Linked DNA regions of Drosophila melanogaster. The protein of the gene in region 2 interacts with the protein of the main gene of each other region in a pairwise test. Each region holds a gene or a part of one and is shown on either strand. Other genes may lie near its edges. The genes, in order: Non1 and Cwc25.

Region 1 (16,652 bases), on a different chromosome or scaffold from region 2:
ATGCCTGCTTTGAAAAATATGTACTAACTCTTTTGATAAGTTAAGTCCAACGAAAACTTTACTTCAAAAAGAGAAACTATTTAAGCTGTAACTTTCAGTATATTATTAAGCAAATATATCAAAAACAATTATGTACTGCCTAATTACAATAATCACTGTAATCGTTTGTTTTTCAAGTTTTGCACTGTTATTTAAGCCAATAGTTTTATCCAATGCCAAAGTTATTTTATATAGTCTGAATTTACCTCTTTGCATTCCGCTTGTATTTGACTTTATAAAATGTAAATGCTGATGTTGATTTAGTTTAATTGGAATTTCCCCATCCGAGTGGTTCAAATATCAAGCGCACTTTAAAGTGAAACTTAAGTCGTGTTAGTTTGAGCATTCTGTTTGATTAAATGTTTGCTTAAATTGTGGCCCAAATGGTTTTTTGCCTTTTTTGTCCGGCTGCAAGGGTTGGCTTCAAGGGTTTCGCAGCTGAAGCTGCCATCCTTGTTAATGCTAATTGCATTTTGTCTGCCAACCTGCTCGGAGCAAATGGAATTACGGAAAATAGTTGCCGAAGACAAGAGGCAGCCAGCTGGTTGGCAAGGCCAACCCGCAAACCGCATTCAAGCCACAGAATGGCTGGCTAATTCAATGCTGCACAATTTGCTGCTCATTTTAGCCTAGTTTTCTGTTTTTTTTTTTGTTGTGAATTTTATATGTAAGGGGGCGGGGGGTAGATCAATAGAGGTCATGTGATTCACAGCCTGCCGCAATTTGCATTGAATATGCTATGATTTGATATGCTCATGATTTATGGCCAGTTTATTCTGCATAAGGTATACGCCGAGCTCATCAATTAGGCACGACAAGTGCGTATGTAAAATACGGATCGAAATGTCAATGCCGATTTATTGTTCAAAAATCGGTCAGCTGGGATATGTGCGAGGTTAGCATGCTTAAGGTTTGAAAATACTTGATAAATGGCGACGCGACATACGGCGCGAATATTTCGATGATTTAGGACTCCAAACGCCATTGTTCCAGCCAAGAGATGCGAAGTTTTGGTCATATACTGAGCTATATGTACATATGTATAATTTATCCCGCCAACACAACAGCGTGCTGCCAACTACATACCTCATATATGTACATTTTTATGTACTCGCACATTCCGCCGCAGCCTGGGCAAACATCTGCTGTATTCTCATCCAGAACCGGGCGGAAAAAAATAATATTGAGGCAGTGCTCGGTCAGGCGCAGAAACACACTCACAATGCCACGAATATGCGCATATAAATATTAAGGCTTTTTGATGGGTGCACAGGAAGCCTATGCACAGATTTGCGAAAGAAAGTTTCAAATGAGTTTCCATTGAAACGCCCTAATGCCAAATTAAGCCAAAATCCAGCTTCGGGTTTATGCGGCAGAAAATGAGACGTCAGACATGTCACATGCATACATATCACACACCCATCCACGCACACACACACACACTTATATTCAGTGGAAAGGAAAAAATTCAGAAGGAAAGTTCTGCAGGAGCAACCGAAAAAATGGCCAACAAAAAGAAGAGAAAACAGCTTATAATGAACGAGCCAAAAGCTTAGGCATCCATTGCCAAGAGTTTCAACGTTTTTGTGATATTGCCCATACGACATGTTGGCTTCCAATCACTTTCTAGCTAAATCGCAGAGATTGATGTTCCAATGCTGATGCCAAAAAACCAGTACAGTTGGAAAAAGCCAATACCCCAAAGATTTGTTAAATTCTGCTCTACACTCAGTGTTCATTTCGGGTAATCTACGCTTTGGCATCTGATGCTAAAAGTTTTAATGATGTGTCAGCTTCAGATAGCTAGATAGATAGATATATTGCGACAGAGTTTGGAAGGGTTGGTCAGCTGCGATGAAGTGCTTCCAGTGGGCCCAATGAGCAAGTTAAAAACTCGTGAAATACCCTCAACAAAGGGAAAAGTAAATTTACCATTACCCGGATTCCTTTATTTATTTGTATCCCTCTAATTCCTCTTAAGCTGAACTTCTTCCCACGCACAAACTTCAGTTTTGGGCAGCCAGGGGACAAAATCGAGGCCAAAATCCCGGCATTTCGGTCGAATGCGAATCGATGGGTAAATATAAGTATTTCGTGGCCCCGTTTTCCTTTCCCACTCTCCGCTGATTTGGTATTTCGATGTATTGTATAAACACCTTAATCAAATTTCACTTCAAAGACATGGAATTCCTGCTGTTTGTGCTGCTTACAAAACTCTGTTTACATATGGCTCGTACATAAATGTACGCACACATGGCTTTGTTTATAGTTCGGGCCTGTTGTCTGACAATTAATTGTGCATTCATTTTAATTAAGCTCCGTTCCTCTCGGGCCCAGATAAATGGCTAATTGTGTGGAAGGTTTGCTGCGCCAGCTGAGGAATTTTTCAATTAGCAAATGACATTGGCATCGATTCTCGTCACTTTGCGACACCAAAATGAACTTAGCAGGCCTGGCCAGCTTATGATTTATCCTTATCTGCGGCATACTTTGGGGCGCCCCTCACTCACACACTCGCACGCACACACAGCCACTCGTACTAACGAGGCTATCTGGGCAGCGGCAACAGCTTCAACTTGTTGACGTTGGCTCCCAGCCTGCCAGGATCCAGCATCCCAGCATCATGGCAAGTGGTGGGCGTAAAGGACGAAAAAAATAAAATCACCAGGCAAAGGGAGCCAGCAAATTGTTGAATGTACATGTACACTCCGTATCTGTGTGGGCGAATTTGTGTTACAGTGCGGCAACCCTAATTTGAACTTTTTAAGTTGAACTTTTGAAAGGTTGACTTTCTGCGTATTTTGTTAATGGAGGGACTTAGAATGGAGGAAAGCTCTGCCAATTGCAGTAAAACACTTACTGATATTATAAAATTAAAAAGTATATATACAAATAGTACCTAGCAGATTTATATATTAAATTACTTATAATTATTATAAGCTAACCGCCCACTGTTTGGTAACATGTACCAGCTTAAGAGTACTTAAAGTTATACACACATCCAAGTTGGGAGTTGCAGATATATGAAGTTGTCCTGTATTTTTTTTTTCGCATTCGCTCTACATACAAGCACCAACACAGGCACGCAGACACACGGACGCGGAGACTCGAGTGTTGGACTAACTGTTTTGCGGCATGCCAGAACCGAAAAGAGCGAGAGGACGCAGCGCGTGGATAGAGGGATGTGGCGAGGGGACGGAAGAGGCGCAGTGAAGACTGGAATGGAGGGAACGGAACGAGCGGAGGACGAGAACGACAGAAAGAATGGCGGAACGAAACAGGCCTGGTCCTGCTGAAACGTTAAAGAGCAAATAAATGTCTCGCAGCAAACAAACGAAAAAGATGAGTCGGTCAGAGGGAAGAGAAGTGGAAGAGGAGCAAGAACGGAGAAAGTGGAGAAGGGAGAGAGGAAGCAGACGGAGCCACAGAACTCCAGACGCACACAAGGATGCTGCCCGAAACACGCTTGCTTATTACCGTTACATTCGGGGACTACTCCAAGTGGGGAAAGCGGGCGAGAAAGGGACGTGGAGAGTCTCCTTTTTACTGCCCTTGTCGAATTTTATGTTGTTAATTTTCGTTTCATCCGAAATTTGATTGTTTTTATTCAATTGTAGGCTGCTCCGCTTTCTTTTTTATCGATGCTCTGGCCTCTTCACCATACTCTTGTTTTGTTTTACACTTTTTGCACTAAATTGTGCTGCCTTTCTTTGGCTATTTACGTGTAATTATTTATTTAATTTTTTTTGCTTAACACACGTTTTTTTTTATTTTTTTGTTAGCTCGGCAGGCTGTTGAATCTTTTATGAGCCAACCATCACCAGCACACACTCACTCCAACACGATGTCTTTTTTCCCGTTGCTTATTTTTCTTCTTTTGTGGTATGGCTCGGAAAAACCTCCGTTAACCGACGACGACGTGTCCACTGATGGAAATCTCGCCCAACACTGAATTACCCTTGGCATCAGTTCTGCCCTCTGCCAGCGTCGCTGCCTCCGTCGACGCCGCTGCCCGCCTAACAGGCTCTGCTAAGCTAACACTATAGGTCAGTGCTAATAACAGAGACACCTGCATCGCACTCGGCCAATCTGGCTTGCCTTAGTCTGTTATTTATACGCTGTTGCATATTTGAAGCATCTGTTTTCTATCGCAACTTTGTTGCTGCTCTACGCATGTGTGTGGGTGGGAATGGTGGTGGGTGTAAGTGTAAGTGTAAGTGGGTGGTTGGTCGCACTCCGTTTACGAGCCACGCTCCTAAGTAGTCTGTAGTTTTTCTGAGTACACATTGAGAAAAACCATACATGGCGGATGTGTAATTTTTTTCAGACATTTCCCACATTTATTTAGATTGCGAATGGTCCTCAATCAACAAAGGCCAATTAAAATTTCAACTTTTCGGTAATTATTCAAGGAACTTTTAGTAATAGCGTGGTGAATTAAACAACTAAATAGAGATATTCTTACTTAGAACGCGATTAGAAGTAGCACAATATGCTGTTTGTTAACTTATTTAAGTTAAATAAATTTCACTTCGTGTTTATTTTGTTATTCCCCTTTTTTGCGGTGTGTTCGGTGTGTTTTTGGTTTGTTGAGAGCACATTTTATGGTTCTGCTTCCGCTGCCCAAGCGGAAAACTCTTACTTTATGCCAAGCGTTCCGGGCATTATAATAGACCGACACTCTTCTTCAGCCTGCTCTGCACTCGTAGTGCTTTACGTTTATTTTAAAGGCTATACAGACCATAGAAAAATTGTACATTAAATACACACAAAGAGGGAACACATGTTGCCGAGAAAAATGGAAGCCCACCAAAAATGGCCGATTCGCGCAGCCTCCAAAAAGCTGTTGTTGTTTTTCGTTGTGCTGTGTGCGTAAAAACATGTAAATATGTATGTAGATATATACAAGCTAATGGCGGGCCCAAAGTATCCAGGGAATACATCAGAATTTACATCAGCCAAACACACTTGTATTTGCGTTTCATTTGGAGAGCACGCGCCATTTAATTTCTCATATTACATCTTCGAGGCACCGAAACTTGAGATGAGCCTAAGCTTCATTTAATTCGATGCCCGACTAGCACGTTATTAATATCCGATCCGTGGCCGATTCAGCAATCACACCGCAACAGCTGCGAACGCTTTGAGCCTCGAACTGCGACTGAAATCGAAAGTGAGTGGGCGGGGAACTTAACATTTCATTTGAACACCAGCAGGAGGATTGGCATCAGCAACAGCAATGCGGCAGCAAGTGGGTCCCGAAAGCCTTGGGAGCCCGGTTAACAGAGCGCTAACAGCCGCTGGCCCAAAAGTTGGCCAATAGGTCAATTACACTGCAGTGGCCAGAACTCAGAAACTGCCATTTGACGCAGCCCTCGACCAACTTCGCTGTTAAATATTAACAAATCCATCAACGTACACTGAGCTAAATTGCAGGGACTTCATTCTGAATTGAATGAACGCGTATTAGGATGGCCAAACAAAAAGAATGTGCGCTGTAAATTATGCGGAAGAGACGCCGTACAAACTAATGATAAGCAACCATAAAAACAAAAACATAAACATATGAACATTGTCTGCTCTATGTTGATAAGTATTTGAAAGCGCCGAAAATTGCGTTCGCTACACGCGCCAAAAGTTGAGAGCTTAAAGGTTTTAAAACAAGAACAATTACAAGAACAATGCGTGAGAATTTCTCTCTCGATCATTCTCTCTCTTCGCACTCTCCCTCTCACTTTCGCGCTCTCAATCTCTCTCTCTCCGGCTTTTGAATTCCAGTTCAAGTTCAAGATAGTCCACATAAAAAGATTGTTTGACAAAAAATAGTGTCTTCAATTTCCAAGGTGTTAGGTAGAAATTCGTGTCCCTTGCAGCACCATTCCCGAAGTTAATCTAATCTTTTATTTTATCGTTTTTATAATTACCACTAATCATAGACATAACTGAAAGCGTATATAAACTTCAGCTTGCTGAGTATTTCTTCATTGTGAAATTGAGATTATGTAACAACTGTTTCGCCATTCAAAGCCCGTATCTGCTCATAACTCGACCAGTAAAAACGTGCCATGAGCAAAAACGCGGGACCAAAGTTTTGTAAACAAAAAAGCACGTGAACAGTTTTAAAAGAAATATAAATACATTGACCAACCAAATATGGACAAGCAACCTGTTTTGGAACCAACATTCGATTCAGTTTCAGAAAGAGAGAATACATCAATTGAAGAATCTTCACTTCTGGAGAACAATGGATTCGATCACCGTAACAAAGATGAATCTCTATCAGTTAACACTTCTCCGCCCCTTGTATGCCGAAAATGCTTCGAGCTTGGACACCAGACCGAAAACTGCAAACAAAAACTGACTGTCAACTCAGAAAATAATTCTGCTCAGAATGAAAAGGGTAAAAATACAAGTTTTGGTTCAGCTGAAAGTTAATTTTCTGAATGGCAGAACTTTCAACCAGAACCAAAACTGATATTATATCTTCTAATTTATCCATATAGAATTATTCCTTAATATATTATTTTTCGTTACGGCAGAGAAAGTCCTTCCGGAAAATCCCCGAGCTCGATCGAATTTTATATCGTCATTATGCTTTTGGTATGTCATTTATACATTCATATATTTTTTACACCTTTTCACGATTATTCAACAAATACAGGTATACCATACCTATATTTCGTAAGGGTTACAGAAAAACATTGGACTCAACGGACCTCTATAGACCCTTGGAGGAGCAAAAGTCGGGTAAGAAATTTAAATATTATTAAAACATTTATGTTGACTAATGCAATCGTTGTATTGTAGATATACTTGGCAACAGGTTGTGTGCCTCTTGGGAGCGAGAATTAAAAAATGACGGACGAAGCCCAAGCCTCGTCAGAGCTCTGCTGCGGGTTTTTGGCTGGCAACTGGGATTCCCTGGTCTGGCGATTTTCGTTGTGGAACTGGGACTACGCACTTTGCAGCCGATCTTCTTGGTGAAGCTCATATCGTACTTTTCTGGGGAACCAGACGCTGCCAATGCTGGATTTTACTATGCAGTAGCTCAGATCGTTATCAGTGCCCTAACTGTGATGATCTTAACTCCAACCACGTTCGGCATCCATCATGTGTGTGAGTTTTCAATCTATGTAAATTGATACTTTTGAAGAACTGAGAACTTCTTGAAGGCTTTAAGATGCGGGTGGCCATGGGCAGCATGATCTTCCGGAAGGCGCTGCGTCTGACCAAGGGGGCACTGGGCGACACTACATCCGGCCATGTGGTCAATCTGATTTCCAACGACATCCCCCGCCTGGACAGCGCACCCTACACCGTTCACTATCTGTGGGTGGGCCCACTTCAAGTTTTGGTCATCACATACCTGATGTATCAGGAGGTAAGCAGATCCCCCCGTTCACCGTGTAAACTGATAACATCCATAACATTTCCCCTGCAGATTGGAATCTCCGCTGTGTTTGGAGTGCTGTTCATGCTGCTCTTTATGCCAATACAAATGTATCTGGGTACGAGGACCTCTGCGATCCAACTGAAGGCTGCCGAACGGACGGACAACCGGATTCGGATGGTCAATGAAATAATCTCCGCCATTCAGGTGCTGAAAATGTACGCCTGGGAGCAGCCGTTTGAGCAGATGGTCACTCACGCTCGCGAGAAGGAGATGAACACCATTCGCCAAGGACAGTACATAAGGGGATTCGACTTCGCCCGCAGAATCGTCCTCTCACGAGTGGCCATCTTCCTTAGCTTGGTTGGCTACGTCATCTTGGGAAAGGTTTTCACGCCGGAAATCGCCTTTATGATAACAGCCTACTACAACGTACTGCTGGCCGCCATGTCCATATACGTACCATCCGCCATTATCCAGACGGCTCAATTCCTGACCTCCATCAGACGCGTGGAGCAGTTTATGCAGTCCGAAGAGCTGGGTAGTTCGGACAAAAGTGAGGGTCCTTCCAAGGATACGGTACCCGGTAATCCACCCTCCAACAATAACGAGGCCGATCTTCTGAAATCAGCTATCTCCATTAGAGACTTGAAGGCCAAATGGGATCCCAATTCACCAGACTACACACTAAGTGGGATTAACCTAGAGATTAAACCCGGCAGTGTGGTGGCTGTAATCGGACTGACTGGATCTGGAAAATCTAGTCTCATCCAGGCTATTCTCGGCGAGCTGAAAGCGAATTCCGGCCAGTTGCAAGTAAATGGCTCCTTGTCTTACACCTCCCAGGAGTCGTGGCTCTTCTCCGGCACTGTCCGCCAGAATATTCTATTTGGCCAACCGATGGATAGCCAGCGGTACGAAGAGGTTGTAAAGAAGTGCGCCCTGGAGCGGGATTTCGATCTGCTTCCCTTAAGGGATAATACTATAGTTGGAGAGCGCGGAGCAACCCTGTCGGGTGGGCAGAAGGCCAGGATCAGTTTGGCGAGAAGTGTATACCGGAAGGCGTCCATCTACCTCCTGGATGATCCACTGAGCGCAGTAGACGCCAGCGTAGCACGTCATCTCTTCGATCAGTGCGTGCGGGGTCATCTACGCGGAAGCACCGTAGTTCTGGTTACCCACCAAGAGCAGTTCCTTCCGCACGTCGATCAGATTGTGATCTTGGCGAATGGACAGATCAAAGCACTGGGCGACTATGAGTCGCTACTCAAAACGGGCCTTATCACTGGTCTGGGAAGTCTATCAAAGACAGATAAAGCAAAGACAGAGGAGCAAGAACCATTGAACCTTAATTCTCCCGACAATAAAAACGAAGTAACTCCCATCAAGGAAAACTCCGAGCAGACCGTCGGAGGTTCCAGCTCGGGAAAGGAGCACGTGGAGCGCCAGGAATCAGGTGGCATTAGTTTGGCTCTGTACAGGAAGTATTTCCAGGCGGGAGGTGGATTGGTGGCTTTCCTTGTCATGCTGAGCAGCTCTGTGTTGGCCCAGGTGGCTGTAACTGGTGGTGACTACTTCCTTACTTACTGGTAAGTTGGTATAACAGGTCTGATTAAGCCTAATTGGTATAAACTCCTTATATTTTCAAGGGTCAAGAAGGAGAGCACTGCTGCTGGCCATGGCGAAATGGAGGATATGGAATCGAAAAGCATGGATGTATACAAATACACACTGATCATAATATTGTCAGTTATCATGAATTTGTCGTCGTCATTTCTGTTATTCAATATCGCCAAAAAAGCATCTATTCGACTGCACAACACCATCTTCAATAGAGTTACTCGAGCTGACATGCATTTCTTTAGCATTAATAAGCATGGAAGCATTCTAAATCGTTTTACCAAGGACATGAGCCAAGTAGACGAGGTCCTTCCCGTGGTTCTGGTGGATGTGATGCAGATTGCGCTTTGGCTAGCCGGAATAATCATCGTTATAGCCAATGTCAACCCGCTGCTGTTGGTTCCAACACTCATGCTGTCCGTAATTTTCTATCATCTGCGCAACTTATATCTGAAAACCTCGAGGGACTTGAAGCGCGTAGAAGCTATAAGTACGAATTCCTTACATTGAATGCATTCAGTATCGATAGAAACTTAGTATTTGTACAGATCGATCACCAGTTTACTCGCATTTGGCTGCTTCACTGAATGGCCTAACCACCATCCGAGCCTTGGATGCCCAGCGCGTTCTGGAGAAGGAGTTCGACAGCTACCAGGATGCGCACAGCTCTGCATTTTTCATGTACATAAGTACATCGCAGGCATTTGGTTATTGTATGAACTGCATATGCGTGATTTATATATCGATCATAACGCTTAGTTTCTTTGCCTTTCCTCCGGGCAACGGAGCTGATGTTGGTCTGGTCATAACACAGGTAAGCCATTACACTAAAGCAGTCACTATCACCTGCCAATCACCTTTTGGTTACCCACAGGCCATGGGACTGATCGATATGGTTCAGTGGGGAGTACGTCAAACCGCCGAGCTGGAGAACACCATGACAGCCGTGGAACGAGTGGTAGAGTACGAGAGCATTGAGCCGGAAGGAATGTTGGAAGCTCCGGACGACAAGAAGCCACCCAAGACGTGGCCAGAACAGGGTGAGATCATCTTTAAGGAACTAAACCTTCGCTACACACCGAATGCCAAGGCAGAGAATGTGCTCAAGTCGCTCAGCTTCGTCATACAGCCCAGGGAAAAAGTGGGCATAGTCGGCCGAACTGGAGCGGGTAAATCCTCGCTCATTAACGCCCTCTTCCGGCTATCCTACACCGATGGATCCGTGCTTATAGACACGAGGGACACACGACAGATGGGTCTGCACGATCTGCGCCGACAGATCTCGATTATACCCCAAGAGCCTGTGCTATTCTCCGGTACCATGCGATACAATTTGGATCCCTTCGACGAGTACAGCGATGAGAAGCTGTGGGGCTGTCTGGAGGAGGTGAAACTGAAGGAGGTGGTGTCCGATCTGCCCGATGGCCTGGCCAGCAAAATCAGCGAGGGCGGAACCAATTTCAGTGTGGGTCAGCGCCAGTTGGTCTGCCTGGCCAGAGCCATTCTGCGAGAGAATCGCATCCTTGTTATGGACGAGGCAACGGCCAATGTGGATCCTCAAACGGATGGCCTCATCCAAGCCACCATTCGCAGCAAGTTCAGGGATTGCACTGTTTTGACAATAGCCCATCGATTGCACACCATCATCGATTCCGACAAGGTGATGGTTATGGATGCTGGACGTGTTGTGGAGTTTGGATCGCCCTATGAACTGATGACCAAATCGGATTCCAAGGTATTCCACAACTTGGTCAATCAGTCGGGTCGAGCCAGCTACGAGGGACTGCTGAAAATCGCCCAAGAGGTTAGATTTAATTAGTATTCTCTAAAAATGAATCCTTTAATGAATAATTTACAATTCATTGCAGACATTTGAATCCTCCTAAGGCCGCAATACTTACTAGTCCAACTGACCAGTTAGATAAACTAATATTTTAAATAAAAATCTAAAGACGAAACTGATTTCTAAAATAGTACATGTTGTGTATTTTTCAAGATTTTTTTTTTTGTTTTCTGCTATGAAAGTTCGCATGGAAAACCCAATCTCTCCGTCATCCATATAAACCGAATGGCCATCAGACTTAAAGCTGCGGCTCCTCGTTGAGCACGACTGGTTCTCCGTCCAGTTTGCGGATGGTGGGCAGCCTCTTGATGCACTCCGCCCGCCAAGTGGGCTCGTCCAATCCCTCGGATAGGGGATTTCCTACCACCACTAGATCTTCGAGAGATTCGATCTCGGCCAGGCGATTGAATTCCGACCAGTCCTTGATCAAATTGTTGCTTATATAGAGCACCTTCAGGCATTTCAGACCAGTCAAACCCTTAATTTTCTCGATTAGGTTGTAGCTGAGCCACAGCTCCTCCAGAGTTTCAGCCACCGCTTCCTACATAAGAGAAGCAAATGATGTGCTAATGGAACCTATCTAATTCGTCCTTACCAGCCCGGATATCTGCTTAATGTAGTTCCGTGATAAGGACAATACCTTGAGGCACTTCATGCCCGATAAGCCGAATATCTTCTCAATCATATTCGTGGACATACTGATTCTCCTGCAGGGGAAACAGAAAAGTAGGAGTTCATTTTCCTCGAAGAACTAAGAACTTTTAAGCTCACTCGCACTGCACCAGCGTACCCAATGTGCTGTCCATTTTCTCGATGGGTGGCCACTGGAATTGCAGATCAATAACCTTGGCAGTCAGGGAATTTTGCTGCTCCCGCTCCTCCCAGCGCTTCAGAGCCTCCTTAATTGTGGTGGCTTTGGACATGATGTTGCTGTGCCGAACAACTTTTACTCATTGGACAAGAAAATTGGTAAAAACCAAACAAACTTCCACGTTGCCAAGGTGAAGTAAGAAACGAGCAAATATCCATGGGGGTAAACTTTGTTTGTGCTAAAGACAATAGTAATGCACATGCTTTTCAGGTCTCTCTCTTTATATAAACTTTTCCAGAAGTCAAGGCTCTTTGCTTTTTATGATACAAAAATTCCACCAAAGTTTACTGAGTGTGTGATGTGTGGTCCCCGAAAAATAAACAATTTGTTTGTAAAAATACAATATTGTATTGAAAATGTTTTTCAGGGATAAAGATAGACGCTTAGTTTATACAGAGGAGCAGGCGAGCCCACCAGGTAGAATCACTTAACCAGCCAAGGCTGCGGCGCTTAACGGCGATCCGTCTTGCCATTTCCACGCTTGCCGGAGAACAAATGCTTCGGCATCTTGGTGCCGATGAAGCGATCCGCCTCGCCCTTGAGACCCCTGCTTGTGACCTTCTTGGCAATATCCCGCTTGGCCATAATTTGCGCCTTCTTGCGAATGGCCAAGTTCTTGATGCCCAGTGTGTCGCGCGACGGCGCCCGCTTCAGAGGCTGACCAGTCTTCCTGACCACCGCAGAGGACTCCTTGTCGAGCAGCGGCTGCATGGGCACCTTCTTGGAGCCAACTGCCACCTGGCCACGACGCAGATCCACCACGGACTTGGTGAAGTTGGCGTTCTCGCTGCCGGACATGTCCACACCGAGGCCCTCCATCGTCGACACCAGTTTCTGTACGGAACGGTCACGCACCTTGGGCTGCTTGTTTCGTGGGATGACTGGCTTGTTCTTTCGCGACGACAGTCGCTTTTCGTCGCGCAGCTCGAAGCGCTTGCCACGGATTTGCTTGGCTATCTCGCGGATCTCCTTGAGCGTCTCGTCCATGGTCATATCGGGCACCTTGTAGACGCCGCTCTCCTCCCGCAGTCCCTCCTCGCGCTCCAGCTCCTCCAGCTTGTCGAAGATGTCGGCATCGATGTAGTCGGCAATGTTGTGACCCTGCCAGAACTCTGGAATAATGTCGTAGCGCTCCTCCTCGGGGATTTCGCTGTAGTTCTTCTTGAGGTCCAGCGTGTAGTCGTCGCCCATCTCCTCCTCGATCTCCTTCTCCAGCTTGCGCTTGCGCTCTGCCTTGTCGGCATTCTGTAGCAGGCGCGCCGAGGCCTTTTCTGGGATGCAGGGTGCACGAAGTTTGTCATCTCGCGGCGCTGGCATCGCCACATGCAAGCGGTTCAGGATGTTGTCCACCTTCTTTGTGCGCATCTTCTGGTCAACACGGTACGAGAGCAAACGCTCACATGCCTCGGTTTTCACCTCCATGACACCGGTTTCCTGTACGGTGGACATGAGCATTACGGGAATGTTCTTGTCCTCCTGTAGTTTGGTGATAATCGCTCGTCGCTCCTCTGGCAGATCCTCTGGTGTTAGAATATCGATCTTGTTGATGGCCAGGATGAGGGGTTTGTTTGTAAACAAAGGCTTGATGCTCTCGAACAGCTTGACCTGTTCCTCCAAGGAGTGTCCGCACTGCTCGGAGATATCCATGAAGTACAGGACGCAGGCGCGCAAATGAGCCAAGGCAGTAATGGCTTGCATTTCGATCACATTGCGCTCTTCCAGGGGATGATCCAGGATGCCGGGTGTGTCAATGACCTGCCAGCGCAGATATTTGTAGTCTGTGTGTCCCACGTACAGGGATTTCGTGGTGAAGGCGTAGGGCTGCACTTCCACATCGGCGCGGGTGATCTTGTTGATGAACGAGGACTTGCCCACGTTGGGGAAACCGCAGATGATGATGGTACGCGAATAGGGATCGATGGTGGGCAGACGCGAGAGATGCTGACGCACTTGCTCCAGATACGTCAGATTGGAGGCCTGTCGCTTCATAATGGTGGCCATGCGACCCAGGGCAGCTTTCTTCAACTGTTTGCAGCGATACAGCGAGTCACCGTACTTCAGCAGGCGCACGTAGTCCTTGGCCACACTGCGGGATAAAAAATAGAATAGTTAATCGAACCTTGTTCGTTTGGGGATCTGTGACTTTGGCACTCACTTGTCCACCAAATGCCTGGCTGTGTTGAGTTGACCCAGCGCCAGCTTGTAATGATCCTTGTCGTACAGCACGTTCATCAAGTCGGCGTAGAAAGGATGCACGTCGTCCAGTTTGGGAAAGTCCTGAATGATCTGCGACAAGCGATCGTGGAAGTTCTGCTGCGTGTACTTCACCTTGCGCGTGTAGAATGCCCGGATTCTGGATATTTTGTAGCCCTTGTGGACCACCGTCGGGGTCTTGCGCTGTGTCTTCGACAGCATAATGTCGATGAAGTCCTGTGGAAAGGGCAAAAAATAAAATATTATTTACATATTGCGCATATTGGTAAACACCTCCAGTGAGGTTATGTCTTTGCTTCAAGGGGTGCTCCGCGGGACGGGCGCTGCTGGGTACACCTTACCTTTGCTGGCGGAACCACCATGATCTTTTTGAAGTTGTACAGACTCATCTTGGCAGGATTTGTTTATTTTCCACGCGTCGAAAGGAAAATAAATGCGGAATCGAAAGCAAAAACACCACGCGGTGTCAGCTTCGTATTCCAAAAAGAACCGGTTCTCGGGCGGAACCAGTTTAGGTTCACATGTGCTGCACGGCGATGCCAGCCCGCGTAACTAAGTCTGGCGATGTGGCATCATTTCAAAGGCATTTAAGATGTTTCAACTTAATTGCAGTTGTTTAATATAGAAATATATCCATCTAAAATATGAGCGAGTATTTCAATTCATTAATTATGTCTATTTTACGTATGCACTTCAAAAATTGTATTACTATTTCAATTCAAAAGGAAATTATTTTTAATTTTTATATAAATTAAACAAAATCACATCTTCCAAGAGGCAGTACAGTGGAAACATGTTGAAACTGGCGTAGGAACCAAAACAAAACATTTTGGCAACACAAACAAAATGGATTCGGAAGCTGCGGGAGTAGCACTTCTCTCCAGAGAGCAAATCATCAGGATACTAAGCGAAGTGCCAGCGGGATTCATAAAGCCCACGGATCCGCCTGCACCCAGTTTGGCGCCCTTCAAGAAACTCGGCGTTCTCGTGGACATCGATGACATCTTGGGCGAGCAGGATGCGGCGGCAGCTAGGATCAGGGACAACATAGATAAGGAGCAGAGCTACAGCTGCGTAGAATGCCGAAAAATGCTGCCCACTGCCCATCTACTGGATCTGCACATCACCGAACAGCACGATTGCTATTTTGCCGCCAGCGTGGAGCGCGGTGACAAGCCCATGTTTTCCTGCTTTCTGGAAGAGTGCACCATCAAGTTTCATACTGCCCGGCAGCGCAAGGATCACTGCATCATAACGCACAAGCTTCCGGCAAACTATCGCTTTGATCATAGCAAGAATAGGGGCAAACAGAAGCATCAAGGCAAAAGCAAACCCAATTCCATGGAGGTGGACGAGGTGATAGAGGAAACTAAAAGTTTGCCCTACGTCAAGGCCTTCAGCTTTGGACATCAAACGCAGAGGAGTTTCTACACAGGCAAAGATCAGAGATCTGGCAAAACACTGGACGATGTCCAGGCCATGAAGGAGGCCATTAACGACATCCTGGATTAGATTTGTACAACTACATATTTATTTTGCGAATGAAGCAGCATTATCATTATCCTGGTAGAACTATATTAGTCTGTTAGCGGAAACATCCTACATCATTTTGCCTTGGCACTGGGCCTGTAAATAAATGAAAATCGGTTTTATTGTTGATTCCGGGCTGTCTTCTTCCTCTTCTTCACCAAGTGGGATTACTTACTTTCCGGTATTGGCATTAATATAATGATAGGCAACCACCAGCAGGAACAGAAATACGCCCAGAACGTTGGAGAAAATGGCCAATTGCACGTCGGTGATCATTTTGCAGACAGTAACACGTTCTATGGATAAAAACAAACTAATTGATTAGAAACGAAGTGGGCGAGTGACACGTCATGGGTGCGGTGTGGAAATCGCGATTTCTGGCCTATTTCTGTATCCACCAAAATGCAACGCGGGATTATGCATCTCATTTGTCGATTAACTTCACCGATTGTTTCGTTTGCGTTCATTAACTTTAGTTTATTACCTTTTTCAGCGAAAAAACGAGCCGGTTTTTATTGTGTACAAATATTTCAGCGTGACCGTAGATCGACCACTAAAATATACCGATATACCTCGCGAACCATAAATAATACCAGATATACCAAACCGGATATTTAAAAAAAAAATCGTTTTCTTTTCTTTTTTTTCAATTTCAAAATGAACGTCATTTATAAAAAGTAAAAGGTTTCCACCATATTTTATTTTTATTTCAATAACTCCATAACATTTGAAATCCAAAACTCGTTATCACCTTTTTACTACAAATAACAAAACCATATTCTTAATTCTATTTTATTTTCATAAAAATATTCAGCGAACAATTGTAAATTCTCGCCAAAAATTATAAATTAACATATTTAACGGCCATCTTAGAAATATTTTAATTATCTTTCCGTATCCAAAGCTTAAAACTAGTTTACATAATACTTATTGCTTTCATATATTTTTTGCGCAGCTCTGTTTTAAAGGTCACTTGTTTTGTGGAAATTGTTGCGTCAGTTAAAAATATTTAGTATAGCTATCGTCATACACAGATCTCTCAATTGCTCTAGTTTAAATATTAAAGAAGGCACTCGAGTGCACTTGCAGCTAACACATACATTCACGCTCAGCTCTTAAAATGCCAGTACAGGAATAAATTAATT
Region 2 (13,656 bases):
AATAACTTTGTATTTTGAGAGACTGATTGTTTAAATTGTCCAAATTGAATTTAAGATACATGTACATATAAGTGGAATAACCATTGTAAAGCAGTGCGTTTAGGCATCCGAAAGAGCAGCCACTCCAGGCAGAACCTTACCCTCCAGCAACTCCAGGGAAGCTCCTCCACCGGTGGACACATGCGAGACCTTGTCGGCGCCTCCGAACTTCAAGCAAGCGGTGGCCGTATCCCCACCACCAACGATTGTGGTGGCTCCTCGGTTAGTGGCCCCGATTACTGCCTCCAGCATGGACTCGGTGCCTTTGGAGAATAGCTCGTTTTCGAACAAGCCTGGCGGTCCGTTCCAGACGATGGTTTTGGATGCACAAATAGCGCCAGCAAACATCTGACTGGATGCCTGGCCGTGGTCCAGACCCATCATGTCCTCCGGTATGCCCTGTGTGGCATCCACATGTTCCACTTTATCCGGCTCCTTGTCGATCTTATTGGCTATGACAAAGTCAATCGGAAATAGTATATTCACGTCCTTCTCCTTCGCCTTGCAGACTATGTCGTTGACCAACTCGGATCCCTTCTCGTCGAAGAGGGACTTTCCAATCTCCATGCCATTGAGCACTTTGAGAAAGGTGAAGGCCATGCCACCGGATATGATCATGGCCGTTACATTGTTCAGGAGGTTCGTTATCAGTGGAATTTTATCGGCTATCTTGGCGCCACCCAGAATGGCCAAAAAGGGCTTGGCCGGATCGTGGAGAACCTTGGCAAAGTACTCCAGTTCCTTGTCCAGCAGGAAACCAGCCGCTCGCACCTTGTAGCCATCGCCCATCATGGAACTATGCGGACGATGTGCTGTTCCAAAGGCATCGTTCACATAGATCTCGCCCAGCTGCGCCAACTTGGCTCGGAATTCCTTCACCTTCGCGGGATCTGCTTTGACCTTCTTCTTGTTATCGTCCTTGCTGCTGCCCGTCTCCTCGGCATAGAAACGAAGATTCTCCAACAGGAACACAGTGCCGTCGGAGGGATCCTTCAAAGCTCTCAGGGTGCTATCACCCACGCAGTCGTCCAGGAATTGAACCGGCTGGCCCAGCACACTCTCCAGCTCCTTGGCCACGGGTTCCAGGCTAAACTTTTTGTTCTTTTTGCCATCCGGACGCCCCAAGTGGGATGCCAAAACCTAGGCAAAAAATTAAGTTATTCGTTCTATACTTTTTAGGAATTGAAGGAAGATATATCAACTCACCAAGGACTTACATTTCTTGTCCAAGGCATATTTAATACTGGGAAGTGCGGAAACAATTCGTTGGTTGTTGGTTATTTTGCCATCTTTCATGGGTACATTAAAGTCCACTCTAAAAATAAATTTATAAATCACACACTAAAACATATCTGGCAAGGATACTCACCTCATAAAAACCCTTTTCCCAGCCACATCTACATTTTTTAAGCTCAACTTCTTTACTTGCTTTCCATTGCAATCGTCTTTGCTAAAAAATCTTGGAAATCTTAATTTTGTAAATCGAGTTTGAGCTCTTTGGTATAAACTCTGCCGAATTGGAAGCATATTAAATAAATTTATTACCTGTTTTTGACTGAAAATACAATGCACGATGAGGAAGTAATTATGAAAATAAGTAACTAAATTAACTATTTTCAATAATTTTCGAAAAAGTAAAAGAAAAATGTAACCCTATGGCAACACCAAGTTAAATTACTTCACCACGATCTGGCAGCCCGGGCGAACATATGATTTTGTTGAAAACAACAGAAAAGGAGGGAAAATCTGGAATTGTTTGTAATTTGTTTGTTTTGCTGTTAAAACGCAAATCAAACCCAAGATGGGTGGCGGAGATCTAGTAAGTAATGTCTCCCAACTGATTATCCGTCAATTACCATTGATTTTTCCCGCAGAATCTGAAGAAATCATGGCATCCGCACACGATGAAAAACCAGGAGCGCGTTTGGAAGGCGGAGGAGCAAGCGAAGATGGAGGAGCGCAAGCTGCAGGATCTGCGCAAGGAGATCAACGAGGAGCGGGACAGAGAGGAACTAAGGCGATTGGGCGAAAGTTCCGGAGTGCTGAGCAATAATGGCGGAGCCGCCGGCGAGGCCAAGCTGGAGTGGATGTACAAAAGTGAGTCATACATGTGAAACTCTTATAAAACTCATTATCCATACATATTTATCTTGCTCCAGACAGCACAGAGCTGATCAACCGCGAGGAGTACCTCCTGGGCCGTAAGATCGACAAGTCCTTTGAGACGCTGCAAGCGGAGGAAAGCCGCCAGGAGCAGAACACAGTGGGTCTCAAGCAAACGATCAACCATGTGGAGCACGACTGTGTGCCCTTCTCCATCCGGACCTACCGCAATGTGCAGTCCAACGAACAGGTGGACATACAGCGCAAGACCCTCGAGGATCCCCTGATGCTCATCAAGCAGCGCGAAATGGAATCCCGTCGAAAGCTGCTTGAGAACCCCGTCAAGCTGAAGGAAATCCATCGCATTCTCAAGACTGAACAGGAACAAAAGGCCGCAGAGGGAAAGAAGAAGAACAAGAAGAACAAAAAGTCTAAGAAATCCAAAAAGAAGAAGAAGAACCGACGATCCAGCAATGAGGAAAGTAGTGACAGCGAGAGCAATGATAGCGACGATGACTTGGACAGAAAATTAGCCCGCCAAGTGAGCAAACTCAAGGGAGACCAAGGTGACCTTAAACTGGACAAGCTGCTGGACGCCAAGTACCGCACCATTTCAAATCAATTAGACATGGCCACCAAGAAGAAAAAGAGCAAGAAATCCAAGAAGAAGAAAAGCAGCGATAGCAGTGACGAAAGTAGTGACGAAGAGGAAGAGCCAAGGAGAAAGCACAAAAGGAGCCACAGCTCAGAGGACAGAAATCAGCGAGAAAGACGCAGGAGTAGAAGCCCCCGGGATAGAAAAAAGCGACAGAGTAGAAGTCCGGAACAAAGGCAAAGGCAAAGGAGTCCAGAAGAGAGAAGGGAAAGGCGCAGGAGCAGGAGCAGAAGTCCCTTAGCGAGAAGACAGAGAAGAACCAGGAGCCCAGAGGACAGAAAAGCCAGACGTCAAAGCAAGGACACTTCAAAGCAGCGCGAGAAACGCAGGAGTAGGACACCTGAAGAGCGTTCCAGATCAAAACGCAGCAGGAGCCGAAGTTCCAAAGGAGATGACAAGCGAAGGATTGCCGAAAGACCGCCTCCCAGCCGTCCCACCGGCAAGCCAAAGTTAAGCGAAGCCGACCGAGAAGCTCGCCTGCGCGAAATGATGGACAACGCCACTTGGAGAGAAGCGGATCGCAGCCAGGTGGTTCGCAAGCACCGAGAAGCATACGCGCGCGAGGAGGCCCAAAATCGTGAACGAGACTTCGACAAGGAGTTCATTAACAAGGAGGTGAAGAAGGCCATTGCCAACCATAACTCAATTGGCGATCGCATCCGGGCCAATCTCAACAACATACAGCGCACCGCCTCCTCAATGGACAGCAACTTTGCCCGCAAATAAACTAGGATTCCTTTATTTCGTATGCATTATATGGTTCCGCAACAAATAGATTCAACACTTTTTAACGTCGTGGTTTGTGCTTACAAGGTAAACGATGCGATTAACATTAATATACCGTATATATGTACGCTTAGGCGCTGGTCAATGCAGCCACGCCTGGCAGTGTCTTGCCCTCCAGGAGCTCCAGCGAAGCGCCGCCTCCGGTGGAGACGTGCGAGACGAGTGCCTCCGTGTTCCACTTGGCGCAGCAAGAGGCAGTGTCGCCGCCGCCGATGATGGAGACGGTGCCGTTCTTGGTGGCGGCCACCACGCCGTCCATGATGGACTTGGTGCCGTTGGCGAAGTTGGGGAACTCAAAGACACCGGGGGGTCTAAAATGGGAAAACCATTATAGGACATTTGGAGAAGTAGCTTCAGTGTGACACCTACCCGTTCCACACGATGAGCTTGGCGCGTGCGATGGGTGCCGCGAAGAGCTCACGGGTCTTGGGACCCACATCCAGACCCATGTGTCCATCGGGAATTCCGGCCTCCACGGTGGCCTCGCTGACGGCAGCGTTCTCGGCGAACTTGTCGCCGCAGACAAAGTCCACTGGCAGATGCAACTGCACGTTATTCTTCTTGGCCTTCTCCACCAGTTTCTCGACGATCTTGGAGCCCTCCTCGTCGAACAGGGAACCGCCGATCTTCATGTTGTTGAGGACCTTCAGGAAGGTGAAGGCCATGCCGCCACCGATGATCATCTCGTTGACCTTGTCCAGAAGGTTCTCAATCAGCTGGATCTTGTCGGCCACCTTGGCGCCACCGAGAATTGCCAGGAAGGGATTTGGTGGCTTGTCCAGGGCCTGCGAGAAGTACTTCAGCTCCTTGTTCAGCAACAGACCAGCTGCGCGCTGCTCGAAGCCATCGCCCATCATGGAACTGTGGGCGCGATGGGCAGTGCCGAAGGCGTCGTTGACATAGACATCGCCCAGCTTGGCCAGGCTGGCACGGAACTCCTTGACCTTGGCAGGATCGGCCTTGACCTTGCCGCCGCTGGCATCCAAGCCCTTGCCCTCCTCCTCCACGTAGAAGCGGACGTTCTCCAGCAGAATGACGGATCCCGGTGCGGGATCCTTGCAAGCGGCCTCCACTTCGCTGCCGACGCAGTCACTTAGGAAGATCACATCCTGGCCAAGCAGGGTCTTCAGCTCAGCGGCCACGGGTGCCAGGGTGTACTTGATGTTCTTGTTGCCATCGGGACGACCCAAGTGGGACATCAGCACCACCGACTTGGCTTTCTTGGAAAGGGCCAACTTGATACTATCCAAGGCAGCGACAATTCTCTGGTTGCTGGTGATCTTGCCCTCCTTGATGGGCACATTGAAGTCGACGCTGCAAAGAAGCACGGGCAATGTTTATGCAACTGAATTTCACGCGAGGATTGGCTTTGGATTACCGCATCAACACCCGCTTGCCCGCCAAGTCCAGGTTTTCGATGCTCAGCTTATTGAAGGCCATCTTTGGATTTTTCTGGATTTTCTGGATACTTCCTGTGCGTGCTAGCAAACTCCGGATTGCGATACCACTGATTCCGCGAATCTTCTTCGTCCTCAACTGCTGTGCGGCAATGTCAGCGCAAGGTCATTTTGTCGGTGAGCTGCTAGGGTTGCATCTCCACTTCCAGGGCGTCAATCCGTGGCAAGCGGTTTTCCGCCGATTGGTAGGTGCCATGCGCAGGATCCAGCTGGGTATACTCCTATTTTGGAGTCCGAAGTTGGTATCGGATTGTATTCTCGTTCGAAAGTTGGATAAAAGTTGTACTCTCCAAATGCAACTCTGTATTTGGCGCCCAAGCAGTGTTGGTAAGTGCTGTCAGCACAGTGCTGTGAAGCATCCGTTCCAAGGGTGTCGAAAAGGGGCCACACAATTCTAAAATTTAAAAATCTATTATTTAAAATATCATTATTTTCATAATATTTAAATATTGTCCATAGATAATCATATGCTAAAAATTAACAAAATAAATGTCTGCATATTCTGACTAGATCATTTAATTGATCATTTGCTATTTACAGTATACAATTTTTTTTATATTAACTTAAATAGAAACCGTTCATATAATATTTTCACTTAAATACATATAAAAATTATTTTTTTTAATAAATTTTTTATAATAAATTTTAACCCCTTAGAACTTTTTTCTTCCACACCCTTGAATGTCTGTTAAATTTTAACTGAAAGTCCGAATTAGTGATTTTTTATAAAAATTTATAATTAATTTATAAAAATAATAAAAAAAAAATTTAATAAATAATAATAATCTACGACGTACATACATATGTCCATACCGTATGTAACAGCCGCCCCTTTGATGTTTGTATGTCAATATGTAATTATTGAATAAATGATTTCTGTTGAGGCCAACAAAGTCAAATCACACAATCTTTCTCGGTGGCCGTTGTTTTATTTTGACTGTGCAAACGGATTCCGCTTATGATGCCATGATGATGGCTCCGCCTCTTCCCCCAATGATTCATTCATTGTTGCCCACTCTGTATCTCTACTCATCTCCGGCGGTCCAAGCAACCACCGGCGGCACTCGGCACTGGCACCACCAAACGCTAACCCACCGCATCACCACCCACCACCCAGCACACGGAACACCACCACCCACCACAAGTGCTCAGTGCAGCGAAATGCATGACGCAGATGGCAAAGTAAGGTATATGGGAACGAACGAGGTTGGGTTGGTTGCTGGCCATTCGGGGGTTTTCTAGCCAAAGTGGCGGGTTTTCAAAGAACTAATCTGCCCAAAGGACCAATTGTAATGTGAGCACATCACTAAAATAATCGATAGATTGCCATATCTGATGGGGTTTTGGGTGGCTGCCTGGGAGACTGGGGTGCGTATAAGCCTATTTGGGGCACTTCAGATGCAGCATTGCAGTGGTAGCGGCTGTCCTCCTTCATCCTTCAGCCAGCCGTCGGAAGAATGTCCACTCACACGTCACGGCTGTGGTGCTCTGCGCAATTAAGGCACCGCCGAGGACCCGGGTACCCACTGGTGATGACACCACGGCGCTGCTGCTGGGTCAGGTGGTATTGGAAATCGAAGACAATGGGGCTGCTTAAATTCATTTTAATAATTGCGTGTAAACCGCCCGTTGACGCAGGTGAAACGCAGGCGAGCAGGTGAGCCGGGCCAGTACATATACCTGGTCGAGTCGCGTCCATGTGGCCCGGCACTCGTGTGGAAACATTAGCACATGCCGGGAAAACGAGACCCGACTCCGAAAGTGTCCAATGCGACGGCGACGGCGATGACGTGCTAGCGCTAGAGATCAAGAATCCAGAGAGTCAAGCAGCCAAACAACAGCCAAGCGACCAAGCGAATCGCCCATCTAGCAACAGTCTAACAATCACTCTAATCGAGTCGTAAACCTGTTCATGTTGTTCCACCCAGCCATCTTGTTGGGTACCTAAGCGCTAGAAGGGACAGCCTATGGTGGCTATTCGTATGCGCTACAATTGGTTTTGTATCTGAACGGTGAGCTGCGCTACTCTTCATACATTGTTTACCATGCTATCGATGATATCATATCGAAATAAAGCTGTCAAAAGAACTGAAACTTCCGTTTTTGAAAAGCCTAACAACCCGATTAGAAGAAATCTATTAAGCACCGCATTAAGCTGAAAGAGCGAAAAACTTAATCGCCGTGAATACAAGCTGATGTGTGTGTTTTAGATACACATGCTAGCTGAAGCGTCTGGCTATCGATTGTGTTTGCATTGAGATTTGTTCGCACCTTTATGCTACAGCAAATTAATGACGCAACAACGTGTAAGTGCACTGGGAGAAATTCCTGAGGCAGGTCAGTAACGACAACGGTCGGGGAAAAATCCCTTGCGTTAGTTTCGTGTTCGAAAGGGCCATAAAATTTCCGAATCGACAGATGTTTGGGTTCCGGGAAGCAGGACCATCCATCCATTTCTGCCTGCTTGAGATCCTACCTACCCGGTGGTTGCCTGCATTTGAAACCGTTGTCTAACCTTGAAGTAACTACGGTCGTACCAACCAAGCCGATAACTCGAGAAATTGGCACAGGTTGTCCTCAGGAATCTAGATACCATTGTTCAACACCGAGAGGTGGTCTCACAAGCCCGATGAGCACGACTATTCGTATCGCGAGAGACCCACCAATCTTGGGCCGACGAGCGTCAAGCCACTCGAACGGATACTGAGAGTTCGGCGGACGGAAAGTGAGACAGTGACAGCCAGAGAAGAACGGTAGGCGGCCCATGGAAGCACAGCGAAATGGAGACGCAAATCGGCTTATCAGGCAGCGATGTTCAGGCAAAAAGTCATCGCTGCTCCTCAAATATGTGATAACTGAGTGGACGACGGGCCACGATTACAGGTGTTTACGTTCACCATGCCGCCTCGGTTGGGATGCCGCGGAACATGTTCGCCGGTTTTAATTAGCGATCCGCCTGTCGACAGTCGTCCGCTCGCTCTGTCGTCGACCGTATTATTCAGATTACCAGATATATAGCCTAGGTATTCGTATTTGCCATTGCTTTCGCACGAAAATAGCTGAAAGCGTGAGAGGCTGTCCAATCGAAACTCGACTGTTGGATACCCGGCAAACGATAGTTATTACCCTTTCGTCGATAGGCTACTGGAAATAGCACCAAGAACCTTATGTCTTCCGGTCGAATTCCTCTAGTATTACTTTATGGGTTGTTATTCCGCTCGTTAATGTGCACATTTTGAATGAACTTGAAGATCAACCTCGCAGTGATTGTCCCACTGATAACACAGATTTATAGAGAAGAGCCAGTACAACTCGAGCACGTTGACTACCAGGTGATATGGGCGATATGTTATAGCCTACTCGGCAGTTCCAGTTTCCCATATATTGGGCGATTCCTGAACCCACTGGGTTCGTGCGGCGAACGAAGCCATCACCATCAAATGGTCGAACCACAAGTGCGGGATCAACAGAAAGATTGGCACATGAAAAAAGAGTCAAGGGTGGACCCAATTCGACGAGTGATAGGCATTGGCATTTAAGTCGAAGTCTTTGGTGGGGCCATTAGGACTTAAGGATGTTTAATATTTCTGGAAATTGCCGATTTCGAAAACTAACCCTTAAATGTTTTCGAATCTTATGGGGTTGCAAATTGCTGTTTTCTTGCTATTTCTCCAGTTCTCTAATTCTAGTTTTAAGACGCATAATCCCGGAATAGAGCATTTCCCCGATTGCGTGCATCTAAATAGTTAGAATCTCAAAAATAGCTGCCCGCTTTCCTGGTCCGCGAAAATCACCTGCTTCCCCACACGTTACCAATCAATTGACCCCAATCCGCGACGACATTGCGTCCCACGCTGGTCCACTCTATAAATACGAATACCGTGCTGAATACAACACACAGCACACACATCTGCATCTGCGGCAACAATGCTGCAACACTTCTTCCCATCGGCAACATCCACATCCACTGTTCTGCTCTGTTCTGTTCTGTTCCACCGACGAACGGTCAGAACGCCACAGAGTGACTGCACCACACACACCACACACCACCATCGCCGCTACCAACCCCCAGACCCCGCCCCCAGGCCCACAAGCGCACCACTGGCGCGCGCAATTTTCAAATTTACCGCCAAACGCGCCCACAACCGTACTCACGGAACCCAAGCAGATTTTGTATGGAATTAATCAGGAAACCCACTCAACTTGTCATTTGCGGATCTAGTTTTGATCGCAGCGCCTCGGGAAAAAGCCCAAAATTAAGCGGATACTACCAGCTATAGCCTCGATCAGTCTCTGAACCGATCCGAACAAAGGTATTCAAGTTATAGGCAAAAATGTCTGCAACCGATTTGGCGCAAGAAGAAGCAAGCGGCAATTTCTAGCCATCGAACGGACGGCAAGCTCAGTCTTGTACGAACCGTCGACGGGAGCACATATCGGTGGTTAGCAAACCAAAGGAAAACGGATATTCCATACATCAGTGGGGCCTACGAGTAAATCCTTTTGCCTGCCGTAGCGCCGCCTGATATATGGCACCTCCTAAAGCCTTACTATATAGATACTATATTATCAGAAAATCACCGCAAAATAATATACCAAAAATCCAACGATCGCTCTGCTCTGGGCTGTTGTTGTTGTCTTATCGACTGCGGCTGTACAAATGCCGCGGCGATTTTTTGAGTGTATTGTATGGGCCAATGGCGTGGGAGAGAGAGAGCGAGTGAGCGTCGTAACGATTTCGGGGAGAGCGAAAAAGAGAGCAGCGAGAGCGTTTAAAGAAAGTTACTCTCTCCTCGAGAGGCAGTGCTTAAATAGACGGCCCGCAGCTGAATCGCATTCAGTGTGTTTGTGTGCTTCGTTCGGTGCGGTTCTCTCTGTCTCTCTCTCGCCTTCCCCGAGTATTTTGCGCTGGTTTTTTGTCAACAACAAGACAATCCACAAAACCAACCCGAATTGTTCTCTATATAACGCAGAAACTAAATAGTTCCGGAAAACCTCAAAGAAACCAATTCAAATATGTCGGCTGCTACGGAACAACAGAACAACGGCGATGTGGCCGTGGAGAAGGTGGCGGCAGATGATGTGTCTGCTGTCAAGGACGATCTCAAGGCGAAGGCGGCCGCCGAGGATAAGGCCGCTGCTGCCGATGCCGCCGGCGACGCGGCCGACAACGGTACGTCAAAGGACGGCGAGGATGCCGCCGATGCCGCCGCCGCTGCCCCCGCAAAGGAATCCGTGAAAGGCACCAAGAGGCCAGCAGAAGTGAGTACTGATCTATGTGACTAGGTAGTTGTTTACGCGGTAAAACCAAAAGGAGGCCCCTCTAATGATTCACTCCAAGCCAATATGCCAGTAGCATAGCATTGTTCGAGGAAAAATTCTAGAAATAGATATACACACGTTTTTCGGAACAGCGCACTCTCCCAATGGCTTACATATGCCCCCAAAAGAGAGAGCGTATAGCTGGCTCGGTTGTGCGTTTGTGTTGTTTACGATTAACCAAGATGATTGCGGGTCCGGCAATCAAAGATTATTGTTGTTAGGTTCAAATCGAGGTTAGGAGGGCCGCCGTGCTTATATAGGCGGGGAGTACAGTTAGCCAGGGCCTTTTCTTTGGTGGGGTGGGTAATGTGTTTTTAATAAACCCATAGGTCATTAGCATTGACGTGTCCGCTGAACAGCGTTACCCAGCAATAGATACATTGTGGCATTACGTCTATAACTCATACGCTTGGCCTTATTTATCAGTCGCTGTGGCTACGGGAATTGCAAATGCAAACGCAAACGCAATTCAGCGCGATGCCAATGCACTCTCTCAATGAAAACACACATTGCCGGCCGGTAAATTACTCATGTCATGTTTGGCCACTTTATTTTTGGTTAGTATCGCCAAGAGCACGCGGTATTCGAACAAGTTTTGGGGGCCTGAAGCAGTCGCATTCCATAATCGAGTAGCACATTTCTTGATAAAAATAAAATAGTTCGGCCAGTAAGGCAGATAAATTGGCAAATCAAGCGCTTTTCTCAGACTCAAACTCGAAATAAAAATGTACAGTTTAACGGGAGCGTTCTCTCGCTCTCTCTCTCTCTCCCCGGAGAAAGATAGATACAAATAGAGAGCGCTGCTAACTCTCTCCCTCGTAATTTGTATACACACCGTTTTGTCTGTTTGCGTATGTGCTTACATTTATCTTTCACTTTTTTTTCTGCTCTGCCTTATGCGTATTTATTTTAGTACATAAAACAAGACGGCTAAACAGGGTGTCGCAAAAGTTAGTTGGGTTTCTTCGGGATTCAATTGAATAATGATCATTATCCCATGATCATGAATTAGTTGAGATACGTTTGGCACGGATAATTCTTAGTGGTACAGTAACGAATTGTATAGATTTCAAGAATAGTTTTGAAAATTATTCGTTGGTTTCCATATCTTTCGATTCCAAACAACAGATTAGCTTTTGTCCCTATAAATGTATCTTCACGCTTAGAAAACACAAACTAAAACCTCTAACTAAATCAAGATACATTGATTACCCAGTTATAACACCAGTAATAGTAGGCTTAGTTCTTGCCAATACAGATACACCCTGTTCGTCTTAATCCTCTATTGGCCTTTTCTCGAGTTCTGGGTCTCGTGACTTATGCTGTAAGCGAAGTGAAAAAGGGGGGCGATGGGTGGCCATTAATTTTGCACATTTTTCCACAGTCCGATTGTTTTTCGCTTCTTCCGCTTTGTAACAGTCTGGTAAATAGGGCCCTTGTGTTGCGGCTTCTCTTCGACTTGGGAACGTGACCGCCTATATACTGCCATAAACCATATACCATTATGTGTATCTTGTTGTTGGTTGGTCAGCGGCAAAAGTTAAACCCACGCATGTTGTTGTTTTGCGCCTTTTTCGCTGCCGACGTCGCTGCAGCAGCTGTCGTTCGGATGGCTGTGAGTGAGAGCGAGAGATTCATTCATGCAGTTCAGGTACAGTTTACAGTGCTGCGGATTCAGATGCTCTCTCTCTGGCGCTCTCGCCCGCTCTCTATCTTACAGGGCACGCTTCGTTTCGTATCTCACGGATGCGGATACATATGTCGCTGCCGGCGTCGCTGCTTATTGTTTTTTTTTCCTTCCCCCTTATGTAGTAAATATGTCGCCTTGTACATACGGAGCACAGATGTAATGTAGCGCGGTTGCACTTGTAATCCACTCTCTCACGTACTCTCTCTCCCGCTGTCTCTTTTTGCCGCAGCGAATTACATTGGCGCGCGCATTTTTCAAATGTTTTTTTACGGCGAAAATAACGATTTTCGTCGCTGCTTGTTTTGTGTGCTGAAAATATACATTTTATGACTATGTACACACGCACAGGAAGTTGAGAGGGGTATTGGATGCCCTTGATCAAGGAGATGTGTGGGTTTGAGTTGGGCGCGTAGGACCATTTCGCTCCGTAATTCTCCCTAATATCCTTTAGTTTGTTTCTCAGATTAATATCAAAAATGCATAATTAATAGTGACGGGCCCCTTATTTCTGTTCAATAAACTTGCTTGTAATACAGTAAATCATCAGCGGAACAAAAACCAAAGGAACTCTACTAACTTCTCTTTTTTCGCTTCCAGGCCAAATCCGCAGAATCAAAGAAGGCCAAGAAGGCCGCGGCCGCCGATGGAGATTCCGATGAGGAAGAGGCTCTGGAGGAAATCATCGAGGGCGACAGTGAAATCGAGAGCGACGAGTACGACATCCCCTACGATGGTGAGGAGGATGACATTGAATGTGATGGTGAGTTCACGGAAGCACTTCCCTTTTCCACATCAATCTAATCCCCGGATTTTCCCTTTCCCTTACCCGCGCAGATGATGATGATGATAATGATGACGGTTCCGGCTCGGACGATCAGGCGTAATAATAATGTAGTCAAAAATACAAACAAAAACAAACAAAAATTTAAATTAATAATAAATAAAAGTTACAAGCAAAAACAAAACAAAAAAAATATAATAATAAACCAACAAGCAGAAAATAAACCACAACAAGGAGAAAATGAGGAGGAGGAGGAGAAAAAAACCACAAAAAAATCGCAAAAGTATATAATTTTTATGTTTAAGAAATAATTTTTTATTTCTTACCTTATTTTAATTGTATTTTATGTGTACTTTTTTTATAAAAAACTACAAAACAAACAAAAATTGTAATTGAAGGCATTTTCGTATAAACGCAACCTATACGGAATCCAACAAAAAGTAAACATCCCCACTATATACAAGAACAAAACAAAACCAAAATCTTTCTTTCCTTTATCTCATAAGTCCTAATTTAAACGCCCAGTTGATGCGTAAACCAAGATATACAAAGATTTCAAATGTAGCGTAAACGAAGCCCGCGAATTAAACACAGATACACTACACTCACACACACACACGATATTCAAATTCATTATTAAATTAGACGTTACATTTGTGAATGAATGATCGATCGAAAGAAGCAAAAATACAAAAGTGAACATTTGAAAATGAACATGATTATGAACATGAAAAAGAAACAGCAAATGCAATTAAATACAAAACAAATAAAACATAAAAATTGTATTTAAATAAATCGCAAAAATCATTGAAACCCCATACTC

What was found.
Region 1: the proteins of Cwc25 (region 2) and Non1 interact in a two-hybrid assay, tested with the Drosophila melanogaster proteins (one large-scale study listed by BioGRID).

Annotation. Positions count from the first base shown.
Region 1 is NT_033778.4:9,384,266-9,400,917, forward strand, and holds Non1 (putative nucleolar protein 1), read right to left. Parts: upstream 14,470-16,652; 5' UTR 14,367-14,469; coding exon 14,319-14,366; intron 14,194-14,318; coding exon 13,919-14,193; intron 13,850-13,918; coding exon 12,214-13,849; 3' UTR 12,000-12,213; downstream 1-11,999. Other genes in the region: l(2)03659 (lethal (2) 03659), read left to right, coding at 6,105-6,144, 6,233-6,439, 6,579-6,639, 6,701-6,786, 6,847-7,155, 7,212-7,420, 7,481-9,018, 9,079-9,539 and 3 more; ODA-Dnal1 (outer dynein arm dynein axonemal light chain 1), read right to left, coding at 11,131-11,433, 11,488-11,599, 11,664-11,815; l(2)k10201 (lethal (2) k10201), read left to right, coding at 14,824-15,489; CG33774 (uncharacterized protein), read right to left, coding at 15,582-15,603, 15,683-15,783. UniProt on the Drosophila melanogaster protein: Involved in the biogenesis of the 60S ribosomal subunit. Required for normal assembly of the mitotic spindle. May be involved in both centrosome-dependent and centrosome-independent spindle assembly programs.
Region 2 is NT_033779.5:2,743,359-2,757,014, forward strand, and holds Cwc25 (Cwc25), read left to right. Parts: upstream 1-1,739; 5' UTR 1,740-1,840; coding exon 1,841-1,858; intron 1,859-1,913; coding exon 1,914-2,136; intron 2,137-2,198; coding exon 2,199-3,523; 3' UTR 3,524-3,586; downstream 3,587-13,656. Other genes in the region: CG9961 (uncharacterized protein), read right to left, coding at 100-1,179, 1,246-1,354, 1,409-1,566; Pgk (phosphoglycerate kinase), read right to left, coding at 3,654-3,894, 3,953-4,897, 4,962-5,023; Bacc (bacchus), read left to right, coding at 10,057-10,302, 12,650-12,812, 12,887-12,936.